Lepisosteus oculatus: one gene and its partner. The protein of the gene in region 1 purifies or fractionates together with the protein of each later gene. This does not show direct contact. Links are inferred from orthologs where the notes say so. Each region holds a gene or a part of one and is shown in the gene's direction. Other genes may lie near its edges.

Region 1 (7,561 bases):
ACCAATGGGCTTGTGGCAATTGGACATTTAAATCTGCATCAGACTGGTGGTGAGTCTTTACCTCAGAACAGAAAAGGAATTGTGGAAGCTTGTGAGACAGCAGTTTATTGTCTTAGTAGCAGGACCTCCTTCCTGTTTTGGGAGACCCACTAGAAGTTGTCCTTTCTCTCAGTGTTGAGGGGAAATGTCAGATTGATCCACAGTGGTGAGGAGGCAGGAGTATGTCCATCTCTGCTGCATGCTGTTGTTATTGTGGTCTTGAGGAAAATCAAGAGCACTAGGTAACTAATGCATTATTTAATCATTTTCAATGGAAACCTCAATTATTTTTCACCAAATGTGGAGGAAAAAAAAGTCGAGAATATCTCGGTGTACTAAGTAGTGCAAAATAGTGTACCTGCCTGTCTGCACTATTAAGCATGTGAACTGTATCAAGTTTCAGATGTTCTTAGGTCACTTTTTTATTTTTACTTGTACTGCATCATAAACTTGGGTTTAAACGCACAGATGTTTTAACTTCTCAGAATGATAAATCTGTAGTGGGAGATGGTGTAGTTTTTTTTATCTCATCACTGTTGGAATGTGTTCCTGTGTATATTGTATTTCCTTTTTGTTGTGTATATATGCAGTGTGCCCAGGAATTTATACAGTAGGTGTGTACACTTGAGGTAGGTGGCGTCAGTGACAAACACAAGTCTGACACACCCCGGCGCTGTGCACTTCAGCCTCTCCTCCACACTGCACTAAGAGCAAGGCAACTCCTGGGTCCCCTGGGTCTGTTTTCCTCATGTTACTGTATAACGAAAACTTGTATTTAGCTTATATGATGGATAATGAAAATGTAACCTCCCACTGTGGAGGTATTGATTTGGGTCCAGGGCTTGCAATACCAAGATTGTGGGCTCAAATTGCTACTGGGAGACTGTCCTTGTTCCCTTGATCTCGTATTTCTCTCGTGGTTGCTCTACAAGCGACATTTTGTTCTGAAATGATGTCTGGTTAAACGATTATTGTTATTATCCTCTATGTGCTCGCTCTGCAGAGCACAGGGGTTTCTGCAGTACCAGCAGCCCCTTCTGCGTAGTCCACATTGCCGCTGGGTTTGGAGGCAGGGAAATCACAGGCTGTTAGAAGTTATAATTATCAAAAGCATGGGAAAACTTTAATATCTCGATTCGTTTTTTGTTACAATGGCAATTTGTAGTATGTTGAAAAAAGAATCACATCTGTCTAGCTGTGCCGATAATAATTCTGAATAATTTTAAGTTTAAATGTGGTCCTGCCTAAAATGACATCTTGCTGAAAATAAGTTACATTACAAAATCTATCCACCAGATGGCTCCAAAAATTCACAACACCTGTGTCGATTTAGCTGCATTTCCTTTCCTGCCATTGAGGCCCATAGTGACCTCATTGGTGAGCTGGACAGCGGACTCTTCTGAAACCTCAGGCAGCATCTGTGGGGTTGATGTCTCTGTAGTGATGGTAAAATAGGTTGTCTGAAGCAGAATTTCGATTTTTGCAAAGGACGGGATGGGTGACTGTCCCACTGACCTTGACAGTCAGTCTGTTTGAGAAGTCATTGTATAACACTTCTGCATCGTTGTGAACAATAAAGAACATTAAAGCATTGCAAAAATATAGAAGTCTTATGTTTTTTTTTTATTAAGTATTCTTTTGGATTTTGTTTAGTAGTTTTGTTCAGCATCCATAGATGAAAAGGTGAGAGAAGGTAAGTGAAGTTGATGCATGCTTTTGTAGGTGGTACTTGATAAATTCCCATTGAACATTAAATGATTGCACATGGGAAGCAGAGGAGCAGACATTCAGTTTTTAAACTGATGTTTCTTCTGGTGTCTTTTAGTGTTCTATTTTTTAAGACAGAATTACTCCATCATTTGTTTATTCTTTAGTAGGTCCAGATTGACCTACTGGTATTGCCAGTGATGTTGAGCTTGAAGAAAATCAGATCCGAAATAAGCTGATTTAGCCATCTCAATTGTAAACTGTGCTATATTATTTTAATTTGTATTGCTAATGGACAGATAAAGCATGTGCCACTTTAACCCCTCTTGGAGCGGAGCAGTGGCTCTGTGGCTCAGGATCTGCGCCTGTGGCTGGAAGGTTGCCAGTTCATATCTCGTGGCCAGCAGAGGAATCCTACTCCGATGGGCCTTAACCCCAACTGCTCCAGGGGCACCGTATAAATGGCTGACCCTGCGCTCTGACCCCCAGCTTCTGTCTGTGAGTCTCCTGGAGAGCAAGTTGGGGTCTGCGAAAGACAAATTCCTAATACAAGAAATTGTATATGGCTAATTAAGTCATCTTATCTGTATTAATACCATTGGCTGAACTACAGCTGTTTGCCTTTCCATTGTAGGATTGAACTGCAGATCAGATTACAGGCTCGAGGAATATGTACAGCAGGCTGCAATCTAATGATCACTTTTCTCACTCCCATAATTTAATCTGGTTCAATTTGTGGTGCAGATGAAGTCAAAAGCACAGTTGCCGAAAGTCCCAGGAAATGTCAAAAATGTGCAAATTATTGGTTGTCTAATATGTCAATGTATAATATATTGTCCAATATAATTTTACATCCCAAACAGACACCTTCAGTTTAAAATAATGAGAAGAAAGGAATATAAGATTGGTTCCAGACGAGGAAGAAAGCTAATTGATTAGAGGATCTCATCCAGCCAGGTCTTGAAAGAAACCAGGTTAACATCTTCATCTTGAGAGATGCCAGCAAACAACCACCCATCTTCAGAGGACGGGAGGGCATATGGAAGCTCCACATAGGACCTGACATGTGAAAGCAAACCTCGATCCCAGCAACAGCAATGACCAGCATAGGCTTGAGCTGAGCTGATTGGACCACCTGTAGCACTCTGAGCCAGCAGGGGGAAGAGCACCACTACCACTTCATTAGTTTTACCTTTACTAATTGCAATTTAGCCAATCTTAAAAAGAAAACAAGTGTCCCATGCTATGACAATATTGCAACTGTAAATAAGAAAATAATTCAAATGGTTTTTCTTTTGCACACGCAAAGAAGAAATTGGGAAATTGTGGTGTTTTGAGAAAGGTTGGGGTGAGATTAATCAATTTATGGTCTCTTAACTGTGCTGATATAGTTACCATATATGGACAACTTTATTTGCACATGGCTGATCCCAGCCTCTGTCTGAGGAAGCAGCAGATAATCTGTCCTTCAGTCCTCTCCAGTGTTGATAACACTTCATAAACAGAGGCTACAACAGCTCAGTCACAAGAAGAAATTGCACCACCCATTTTAAAGTCCTGGTTAGACTGTGGTTATCTATTCTTTAGCTGCCTTCAATCTTGACTTACACCCCTGTCATTTAGACTAACAGAATATTGTCTTCCTAAACCATCAAGAGGCTCCTGGGGTGCCATGGTGACATCCTCTCCTTGATTCAGTACGTGGAGTGCTGGCTTCACATCTGTGCTCACCAGTGGACAGGAGCATCTGCTCCTTATTTCCCGCAATACAGCTGCACCTGATCTGTGGGATCAGGCTGCCAGCACCTCCTGCTGGGTGTTGTGGTGCAAGCCTGTTCAGGGCAGGGCAGTGTTCATGGACACAGAGGCAGTAATAATTCCTTACACTTATTTCACATTTTTCTGGACACTCTCCTCCACCACCACCAGTGTGCAGCCCCACCTGGATGATATGATGGCAGCCATAGTGTGCCAATACACTCCCCACACACCAGCTCTCAGTGGGGAGGAGAGCAGAGTGATGAAACCAATTCAGAGATGGGGGTTATTAGGAGGCCATGATTGGTAAATGGGCTAGGGGAACTTTGGCCAGGACGCCAGGGTTACACCCCTACTCTTTTCGTGAAATGCCCTGGGATTTTTAATGACCGAAGAGAGTCAGGACCTCAGTTTTACATCTCATCCAAAGGACACCACCTTTTTACAACATAGTGCCCCCGTCACTAAATCGGGGCATTAGGATCCACACAGACACAGACACAGGGTGAGCGCCCCCTGCTGGCCCCACTAACACCACTTCCAGCAGCAACCTTAGTTTTTCCCAGGAGTCTCCTATCCAGGTACTGGCCAGGCTCACACCTGCTGAGCTCCAGTGGGCTGCCAGTTGTGCATCATGAAGCTAAAGGTGACCTCCCCTGACCGCAGAAAAGTTAATTTAGGACTAAAATAGTGCTGCTTCACAGAGAACTGTCTGATACAACCTCCCTGCTCTGGAATCAGTGCAGGGAAGTGCAACCAGATACTTTCTGGGGCTTCAGGTAGCATCCTTCAGAGAAGTGCAATACGAAATGTAAACTCGGACGTTATTCCATAATTATAGTTACATATAGTTAAATATAATTACAATAAAGCATATGGATGAAATAAGGTAACGCGGACGGTCCCAATTTCTACTCTCAGACCTACTCTCTCTGACCGGCAGAGGGCACCACCTGTCAGAGTGTTGACGTGCGCGTTCCCTTCGCCGGACCCCCCCTCTCCCCGAGCGCGCTCCCGACGGGCAGTGGTGTGGCTGGCGAGGTGCGCACGCGCAGACGAGCCGTCTGAATGAGGGACCATTTCCTCTTGGAGGCCTGTGTGTTTTGCAGCGACTGAAGGCCAGTTCCTCGGCTGTGTTTTCAATTTGGACGGGCAAAGACGGGATAACCCCAGGATCCACCGGAGCCTGCTGCGACCGTTGCCGTGAGCAGAAGCGAGCTTGAGCAGGCGAGACGAGCGGCGCTCCCGGCGGTGTCGCCGCTTCCTTCAGCGCTCGGCTCGGCTCGGCTCGGCGCTCCCGGAGTGGCCCGGAGCTGCATGAGAGGAAACACTCCTTCGCCTTTGTGTCTGCACCGCACGGGCTGCCTTCCTGGACCGAGGTACGAGCAGCGCTGCTCTTTGTCGTTGCGAGCCCGCAGGCGCAGCAGCTGGAGAGGGGGGCACGGGCACGGGTGCGAGTCGGCGGCTGGTCCTGCGGGCTCCTTACCGCACCTCGGGGTGTGCTCTCCTCTCGGACAGTCTGCGGTGTAACTGCAGACTTGTCTTGAGAGGGACGCGTTTCCCGTGTGTGTTTCAGTGGGCGATCGCTGCGCTCTGCTGGCTGTGGTCTGCCAGGCGTGGTTGGGGCAGGGGTACGGGGGTCTCTGGCTGGCCGGGCGGGTGTCCGAGCTGCCCGCCAGCCCAGCTGACGTTTCTGCTCTCTGGTGCAAAGCAGGCAGAAGTGTCAGACCGGCGGGAGGGCGCAGGAGACGGGCCGGTCTGGCCTTGCGGACTGACCAGCGTCCGCCTGAGTGACCGTCTCTGCCCTGATGAGCCCCGGAGCCTGGCCGAGGAGCTGCAGTGTTTGTCAGTGGAGACGGACACTGGACGTGCCGCTTGTATACAGTATTTCAAACCTTGACTTCGCGCACGGCGAGGTGCTGATTTGCAGTCCTGTGTGCATGCAGGGTTAGGGGCTTGTATCTGTGTTGTATCTCGAAATACAGTACTTTTAACAGCTGTCAACGGCCCTCTTTTGTGCTACAAAGAAAATGTCAACCTTTCGGTATTCTAGCTACCCGGAGATGCAGTTTTCGTGCTGTAGTTGTTACCCAACTCGCCGTTGGGACCTCTGTAGGGAGATCCGGGAGCTTTTTGGAGATGAACTAGCTGTCCAGCTCACGGTTTCGAGTTCACATTCGTCGCTTTGGCCACACGGGTACTAAATGCATGTGTCCACCTGGATGGGCTGGTACTGTAGTCGGGTTTCAGCGAAGGCGAGGGGCGCTTGAGTGACAGTCGAGCCGCCTGACTCCGGGCTGCCGAAGCGCGCTGATCGCGCTCATCAAGTACGCTCGCTGTTACTGTGGACAACACTGCCACGGCCCACTGTTTCAAATGTCACGTTTCACATGAGCCCGGCTGGCCTGCGTGTGATAGCGTTTAGCTCCATCAGTTGTTTTTTTTATTAAGCCAGGTGACTGACAAACGCGTATTTTAGTGTGAATGTGAACAGCGTCGTACTGTATAATTGCATTGGACTGTAGAGTTTAAGGGAGAATTCAAATATCAGCCACTGCAGTAATAGACATCATAAAGACTTAGAACATAGTGGAAATGTGATCCAAATAGTAAACCACAATTCGGAAAGGGCTAACACGGAGCATGCAGACTTGCTGTTTGTCCGGAGATAGTAAGGGGCTCGGCCGGCAGGCAGTGTCTCTGAGGTTGTTTCAGGGGGATCCCCTGTGAAGCTCCTTCCCAACGGGTTTTGTCAGTAGGACATTGAACACAACTGTAAGACGGCTGGGCTTCGTCTACCTCATCTGTCCTCCTTGCTCTGGGACTGTATGCGAGTCTCGTCTGGGTGACCCAAAGTCAGAACTTGTTAGAAGACTTTCCTGCGGTGGTTCAGCACACAGGTGAGTTTGCTGTCCCGTGCTGTTGTGCTCGGCTGTGAGCATGAGGGATGTATCGTGCTACATTGCAGGATCACCGTTGTGACGGCAAATCAGAATTACGGTGCAGTAAAAAGGTTTCCTCCTCTGAGTATAATGTTAATCAAACCTAAATGCTTAAACCTGTCAGTTTATATGTGAGTGGTCTCCTTAAATACTTGCTTTCTTAAAGAAACATCGCTGTATATATAAAGTTAGTACAGCGTGCCACGTTTTTGTGTAGTAAAACATTTTTATCATAGTTTTCTGGTTCATTACAGTCCTTCTATTCTGATGACTGATTTAGAGATAGATGCACATTTTGTTTTCTTAGTAAGTCTGAAATAAAATAGGACTTACCTACGCTAAGACATCAGAGTAATTTAGCATTTCCGTTATCTGTTCAGCTTGAATCTTTAGGCCCGTTCATGAACTCAGCTCGTTGCAGGAGGACAGTGAGCAGTTTGTACAGCTGGTTAAGTTCTGTTCGAGTTGTGGCGAGCGTGTTTGCAGCTTTGGTCAGGCTGATCTGTGGCTTGAGTTTGCAAGAGTGGTGTGGCAGTGAGAGTGGTGTCCGGATTAATAAGAGGCAATGGCGAGGAGGGTCTGTGCGCGTGCCTGAAAGTTATGGAGAGATTGGGAATTGCTTCCAACTCAGAGACCTCCTTTCTTCATGCATTTGGTCATTTCTACTCTTCTCCTGTAGTCCTGCATGTTGAGTGTGGAAAAAGTTGCAGCAGGATTGTTTTTACCAAAAATGATTCAATCTTGTTCTCACCCGATGCATTTTTCCTGTTCAGATGTATTTCTAGTTTCTGTTTGGGCCCTGTTGGGTTAGGGTTATAGACCACTCCAGGTCCACCTGGAATAGCATGCTCTCTCCAGCCATTCCCCCCTGTCCCGTCTCCCAGCCCGGGATCGTGAGTGCTGCTCTGACAGGGTCCTGTGTGTGGAGAGTGGCCATGGAGACAGGGTGGGCTCGACTGGACGGGGGCACGGGGCACATTCAGTTGGGGAGCGTGCATCGAAGTTGCTAGAACATCAGTTTCCCGTCTTTGCATTGTTGTAGTTTTTCTTTGATTTAAATTTCCTTACACTATCGTTTGGAATTCATAGAAATGACAGATGTGAAGACTAACTTG
Region 2 (7,340 bases), on another chromosome or scaffold:
TGAACGATATCTTGTCTTATGAAGGGGATGACACCAAAGGTTTCTTTGACCCAAACACTGAAGAAAATCTAACATATCTGCAGCTTAAAGACCGGTGCATTAAGGATAAACAGACTGGTCTCACCCTACTTCCACTGAGAGATAAGAAGAAACAACAGCAGTTGACTCAGAAGAACACCCTGCGCAAGCGCAGAGTGGTGATTGTTGATCCTGACACTGACAAGGAAATGACAGTACGTGAAGCTTTTCACCGGAACCTGATTGACTATGACACATTCTTGGAGCTCTCCGAGCAGGAATGCGAGTGGGAAGAGATAACTATCACTTCATCCGACGGCACGTCAAGAGTAGTAATTGTTGATCGGAAAACCGGCCAGCAGTACGACATTCAGGATTCTGTAGATAAGGGTGTCATTGACAAATCGGCATTGGAGAAATATCGCTCGGGGTCCCTGACCCTTACGCAGTTTGCAGACATGTTGACCACCAAGAGCACCGGGGAAGTCTTGGTCAGTTCTTCTAGTCTTGAATTTACCAGCAGGAGCCCCACATTACTTAAACCTGGGTCACCAGCTACCCCAAGAAAACTTTGGTCTGGCGTCTCGATAAGTCTTTCGCCCCCCTCCGATCTGTTAGAAGATCAAAGTCCGATCGCAGCTATATTTGACACCGAAACCATCGAAAAAATAACCATAACCGAAGCGGTACGACGGGGGCTTGTGGACTCTATCACGGGGCAGCGGCTGTTGGAGGCTCAGGCCTGTACTGGAGGCATCATAAATCCCTCAAATGGTCTTCGGCTCACGTTGGATGATGCGGTAAGACAGGGCATCATTGACCAGGACATGGCTGTGAGGCTGAAGCCAGCTTATAAAGCATTTGTAGGCTTTGAAGATGTGAAAACCAAGCGTCAGATGTCGGCGGCGCAAGCAATTAAGGAGAAGTGGTTACCGTATGAAGCTGGGCAGAGGTTCCTTGAGTATCAGTATGTCACAGGAGGCCTGATGGAACCCGGTACCACTCAAAGGAGAAGTATTGAAGAAGCCATCAGAAAAGGCTGGCTGGATGGAAGAGGAGCTCAGAAACTCCAAGATGCCAAGCGCTATGCCAAGAGTTTGACGTGTCCTAAAACCAAGCTAAAGATTTCATACAAGGAGGCCATGGAAAATTGCATGGTGGAGGAAAACACCGGGATGAAATTGCTGCAAGCGTCCTCCATGTCCTCTGAAGGAATCAGCAGCCCCTACAACGTTTCATCTGCGCCGGGGTCCCGCTCCGGGTCCAGGAGCGGCTCAAGACGAGGCAGCGTAGATATGTCTTCAAACTTTACTTTCAACTACACCTCCTCCACTTTTAGCTCCAGCTCTCTCTCATAATACAATGGGGGGATCTGAGATTTGTTACGTTTCTCAAAACGTAGAGGAGACCAAGTTCAAGTTTTAAAGGGGAGTGGCTGTGGAATAGATATACACAATATTAGGCATTTAGCAGCTGTTTGGTATTTAGCTACAATACTTAGTTATACAGGGCAAGGGATTATTTTTTGCAGCTAGTTTTGTTTCCTTATTTTTCATCTGCCTGGTATATGTTCTGACAGATTTTTTTTTTTTGGTTTTACTCGGTCATGTACTAAAAATATCTGATTTTCTTTATGAACTGTGTGGATTTTTTATTCTTCTCTTCACAATGTCCTCACTAATTCCTTAAGTTTCTTCTTCGTAGAAAAGCCAATAATGAATTTTTGAAAATGATACCCCTGTTCCACAGAAATGTCCAGGGTCTGCAACCTAAAGTGGCTCAACTGTGCGTGTTCGTCTTAGCCGTTTTAATCACAATAAGGTAGCAGATATAAAATTATCGTTTGCACTGTGGAATCTGAAAGGGCTTGCACCACCATGCTGTGGCTCTAGATTTTAGGCTCTCTTTTAAGTGTTCTTCAGCTGTACTTTAGGAATTGTGAGCATTACATCCCAATATTAATTTTGCAATTCATTGCTTACCAATGCATTCATGATGCGTAAGTTGAATTCGGCCGTAATGAGACAGGCACGAAGCTGCATAGAGGTGAGATTTTTCAGTGTATTCTGTTACTGCCTAGAAACAGCAGTCCTGTGACCAGTTCCTTTTGTATTAGTTTTTTTTTTCATTTTGTAAAATGCACAAATGCATTCACGAAACGGCGAAGCAAATAACCATCTGTACTCAACTTTAATTTTTTCCCTCCATTATGGAGACGGAATCAGGTTTTGAAAAACATCTTTGTACTCTTGACGTTTTCCACTGTGATCTGTATGCAAACCCCCCTCCAAAGAATGAAATGCTGCACAAATAAACATGACTAATATCTTTCAATGTGCGCTTGGTAATAAACCTTTTTATAGAATAACTGTTCAGTGTTTTCAGTGTTATTATTTGCGTATATATTCACACATGAAGTGAAGCTGCAAGCAGACATGCTCTCTAGGTGGACATCTGCTTCAGCGCTGCCCTGAACTGTGTCCGCACTGCAGACCTGTCCTTCATTCAACCATTGTACCTCGCGTGTTGGGAAACACTCTTGTTGCTGTGGTGGCGTTTCTTTGAGTTAATTCGATCGGAATGTTTTAAAGCCTGAAAACGTGATTTATAAAATACCGTGAGGAGGAAAACATAATACATCTGATAACATAGCCAAACGATGGGGCGGCGAGTCCCGACATTTAGCTGCTGCAAACTATATTTGGGGCTCATGAGTGCTTTCCTACAGATGGGACCAGCCAAGAGGGAGCGACTGGAGCTGGTAACTAGGATAAGAGGAATAGCATGTGAATGAACTGCACTTATGAGCCCCTGTTACAGTGCAAATGTTTCTCACATGCGAGGGCTATGACCCCACTAACAGCCAAATCACCCCCTGGCCTTTACCAGTCATGGCCTCCTATTAATCCCCATCGATGAACTGGCTTCATCACTCTGCTCTCCTCCCCCGTGAGAGCTGGTGTGTGCTGAAATGGACCGTGTCCACTATGGCTGGCTGCCATCCCATCCTCCAGGTGGGGCTGCACACTGGTGGTGGTGGCGGAGGGGAGTCCCCATTACCTGTAAAGCACTTTGAGTGGAGAGTCCAGAAAAGTAAGAATTTATTATTAAATGCCTCGAGAGTCAGAGAGGCCAATAATGGATGCGCAATCATACCAAAAGCAATATTGTAATGGCAATACAGTATTACTCTCTCTCAATTACTAAAGATACTGTTACTCCTCAGTAGTTACTAATGACTTATCTGTTACTAATAATGATGATACTCTTAGAGGGTGTCAGCCTATGAGCTGTGCCACCTACTGAGGAATAATAGCCTTGCACTTCATGCTGCTCTCCAGGATGGAACCGCCGATCGACTCCGCGGAAGGTGAACTGACTCCCTGTAGTGCACCGGGACCCTTTTCGGCATTAAGGGCGAGTCATCTCTTGCGAAAAATTGTGGACTCCGCCCACATCCATTAAATATGAATAAGAAGTTATTCCTTAAATGAAATCTCACAAGCTTCGGCTGCCTCTGACGGACCAGCCAGTGAGAAACAAGTCGAATCTGACGGAAAGTTTCTGGTCCGAAACATTTGATATTTGCAGCGAAATTCAAAGCACTCATATCAGAGGCAACCCATACACGACTCTTTAAAGAGCCAGACCTTGTTAGGAAAGTATGCCTTCTAATGCGGCGAAATTTGATTTTTTTTTCTATTCATGAGAGAGGTGCGGACTATCAGAAAATCTCACCCAGTTCTCATGCCAGGTGTGTGGTCCGTTCCCGAGTGAAACAGGCATAAACAATCTTTCATTTTGCGTTTTTTGATGCACAGTTAATTTACAAAAACCTGTTTTCTTTAAATTGTACCCACTTCTTTAAAAAATTATTATGCGCATTGTTAACAGACAAATGAGAAGTAACAATGGTAATTCTAATGCTGACCTCCACGCACGGTATTGTGCGTATTTTTGATTATTACAACCGGTTCAGATTAAGTTAAACTTTAACTTAAGTATGCATATCTCTGTACACTGCTGACTGTTGCTTGGTACAGTAGCTGATGCTCACATAAGACTGCAGAACGCACATTTAAGACCTATCTTGGATTGGCACTGTAAAAAGAGATAAAAAGTGGAGATTGTTAAACTTCATGTTGTTGTTTGACAGGTGACGTCTTCGTAGATAATATCGAGACGTGCCGCAACACGCGCATTAAGCATTGTTCGTGTGTATATATTTTGTTTCAAGTTTTTTTCTGGCTAGCATCAACATGAAACCCCAACGTATATAGAATCTAAATCGGCGACTTACGCGTTTATGTTTTTCATTCAGGTACGTGTCAGTAATTATTATTGTTAGCATGCAACGCGCATAAGCTCATGTCCAAAAGGTAGGTAAAGGTTTTTAAATATTTCAGTAAATGAAGGGAATTGGTTTATAACGTAAACGTGATTACAGCCGGTGTATTTTAGCACGAAAACAGACGCGAATGCATAAAAAAGCTCGTACAGTCTCCTGAAAGACTCTGTCTTTTAAGCTTTTTGACTGCCTGGTTACACGCCGTGGGCCGCTTATCCCATTTAAGATGGCTGTTTTCATTTTTAGTTTGATTTGCTTGTATAATATTTTAAGTTTAAGGCCTGCAATAAGATGTTTGTTTACAACGGACACTCCCTAATATGCATCAATACGTGTTATGTATAGTTATACTTTTATTGTGGATGTAACCTTAGGATCTTTAGTATATTTGGGAATTATTAATTTGATAACTGAGATAGAATGGTTTCTGAAGCAAGTGCAGATTGGAGTTTTAACTGGAGACATTCTGTTAGCTTCCCTGTCATACGTCCTTGTTTATAACCCAAATTCTATACATGTCATACACCCAATAAGCTATGATTAATATTGTCTGTTTACATGTGTAGTTGTACAAGTAAACTAATGCATTCTCATTTACATTTAGTAATTGAAATAATGGCAGTTACTATCTAACAAAAGCTGCTGTTATAAATCACTTAGGAATGGGTTATATCTTTACATAAAGTTTATAATGTCTATTCCTCTTATATCTGGTGGCGCTTCAAGGTCGACAAACCTGAAACTGATGAAGGCCTTGCTTATGAAAAAGACTTGGGTGTTTATGTTGACACATCGTTTACATGTTCCACACGAGCAATTAAAAATGCAAACAAAATGTTAGGATGCACAGTTTAAAAGCATATAATTTAGATGAAGGGATGGTATATTAAAATTGTTTAATGCACTAGAAAGGCCTCATTAAGAATTTTGTGTATAATTCTGGCACCATATTATGGAATGACGTACAGACTCTGGAATGAGTCTGGAGGAACAGATACATTTCAGGGTTGAGCAAACGTCCTACACTGAAAGCCTGAAGGAACTAAACCTTTTTAGTCTTGGACAGAGAAGACTATGAGGGGATCTCATACAAGTTATTTGCAATCCTCCGACAAAAAAGGACCTCCTGCAGTGACAAAATCAATTCAGCTGATTTCTTCAAAACGAACTGTAAAAAATGAACCATGTTCCAGAAACGTGTAAGTGGTAAATAAGTGGAAGTGCATTTTAAATTGAAGAATATCAGGCATTTCTTTATCCAAAGGGTTGTGGGAGTGTGGAACAAGCTGCCCAGCCATGTTGTTCAAGCCAATAGCCTGGCTTCCTTGACGAAACAGCTGAGATCAGTTAAGTAACAGATGGGCCTAGATGGGCTAATTGGCCTTATGTGATCTTCTAAACATTATAATATAACAAACCGAGACTTGTGCCTCAGCCTGAGTGTTCATGGGTGAAATTAGCGGGATGGCACTGTCACCACGAGATTACTGTCGCCAGACAGGCAGCACTGGGAGAACACTTGGTTCAGAAAGGAGGGAGATGGGAGGGAATCTGAGAGTGCATCACTCAGATCCTCCTTTCTGGTACTCCTAAAGCCTCATAGTTCACCGTAGTTCCGCCACACAGTCATTTCTCAGATGAAAACGCACACGCCTCTCTAGTACAGCCTCCCGGAATTAGAACAATGTAATCAATCGCCATCATGCTGGACAGGTGTGTATCTCGTCAGTTTCTAGAGCAGATCTTCAACATCAAGCTGTGCAACCACAAAATATTTGGGCGGTCAAAAAAAATGAGAGAAACCGCAGAGAAAGTATTTTTTTATCCTTTCCATTTGTGGATTGAGAAATACCTCAAATTTAAATTCTTCCTTTGAGAAAAGTATAAAAGTATTGGGGCAAAAATCATTAAAGCAACAAAAAATGATTGAGGCTGAGGAGCACAGCAATAGTCAGCGACAACAAGATGGCAATGGTGCAACTAAAGAAACCGCAGAATGACCTGGTTAATGGAAAAAGCACTAGTAGCTCATAAAGTGAGGTACTGTACTTGCTACTTTAAGGGAATCACAATTTTTTCTGATTTAAAAATAATTTGTCAGATACCATTGACCTTAAACTTATTGAAAAGTACATTTTTTGAAACATGCATAATTTGAAGGGATTGAGGCATCTTTTGGTTACCATACAAATAAGTAATTTGGATATTTATTTGCACTCGGAAGACATTTTGCATTGTTCTTATCTTTCCATTAGAAACCCAGGTCTTGTACTGACCATTCTTCTACAAAATACTTTTAACATACTACATTATGCTGATAGACTGTATCACATACTGTAATACAAAACGTTTCAGCATCATTGTTAGGTAGAGAGGAACAAATTATTTTAATGAAGAGGAACACTGGCCAGTCAGTCACTTAGATTTGGTTCGTAAACTGATGTATAGCTTACTTTGAACTGTTGTGGACAAGGTGTGAAAGATTGGTATGAATGTGGTAAAAAGATAAAAAGACAAGCTTGGTTGAAGCTGGGATGGGCTTCCACATGGAGTTGCCAAACCTTAGAGTACCTTACTCATAATTACTACTGCTGTTATACTTGTGAGTATAGAGAAGTAGGATTGCTGGCAGAGGAGAAAAAAAGCGTGTCCTCACTAAGGAGGTCATCAGGTCAGGGCTGATTTATAATCTTTCTGTGGATTGCTGGCCTCGTGGTGTTGCAGTGGTCACTGGGTTCCTGGGTTCACTTCCAGACCTGGGGTGCTATCTGCTACCCAATATGAAAAAAAAATGACTTTTACTGTTATTTATCTGTGCTAAAAGATACCAATCAAATAAAACATCCAAAAGTCTGCATTTTACGGTAACTATACCAAGCCCAATTAAAACATTAAAATAGATAAAAAGAATATAGATGTTGGGTTTTGAAGAGACCCACTGTTTTAAGTGGAAAAAGGAATAGTTCTGACACTT

The links. Proteins that work in one complex are often made in the same cells at the same time.
Region 2: the proteins of csk (region 1) and tns3.2 purify together in Homo sapiens (affinity purification with mass spectrometry; 4 studies listed by BioGRID and IntAct, with this or other methods). This does not show direct contact. The link is inferred for Lepisosteus oculatus from reciprocal best matches to the Homo sapiens genes CSK and TNS3.

Annotation. Positions count from the first base shown.
Region 1 is NC_090700.1:56,659,500-56,667,060, reverse strand, and holds the start of csk (tyrosine-protein kinase CSK), read left to right. Parts: upstream 1-4,550; 5' UTR 4,551-4,883; intron 4,884-6,232; exon of another isoform or gene 6,233-6,404; intron 6,405-7,561. UniProt on the Homo sapiens protein: Non-receptor tyrosine-protein kinase that plays an important role in the regulation of cell growth, differentiation, migration and immune response.
Region 2 is NC_090701.1:4,603,379-4,610,718, reverse strand, and holds the start of tns3.2 (si:ch211-191a24.3), read left to right. Parts: upstream 1-4,322; 5' UTR 4,323-4,339; intron 4,340-7,340. Other genes in the region: desmoplakin-A, read left to right, coding at 1-1,376. UniProt on the Homo sapiens protein: May act as a protein phosphatase and/or a lipid phosphatase. Involved in the dissociation of the integrin-tensin-actin complex. EGF activates TNS4 and down-regulates TNS3 which results in capping the tail of ITGB1.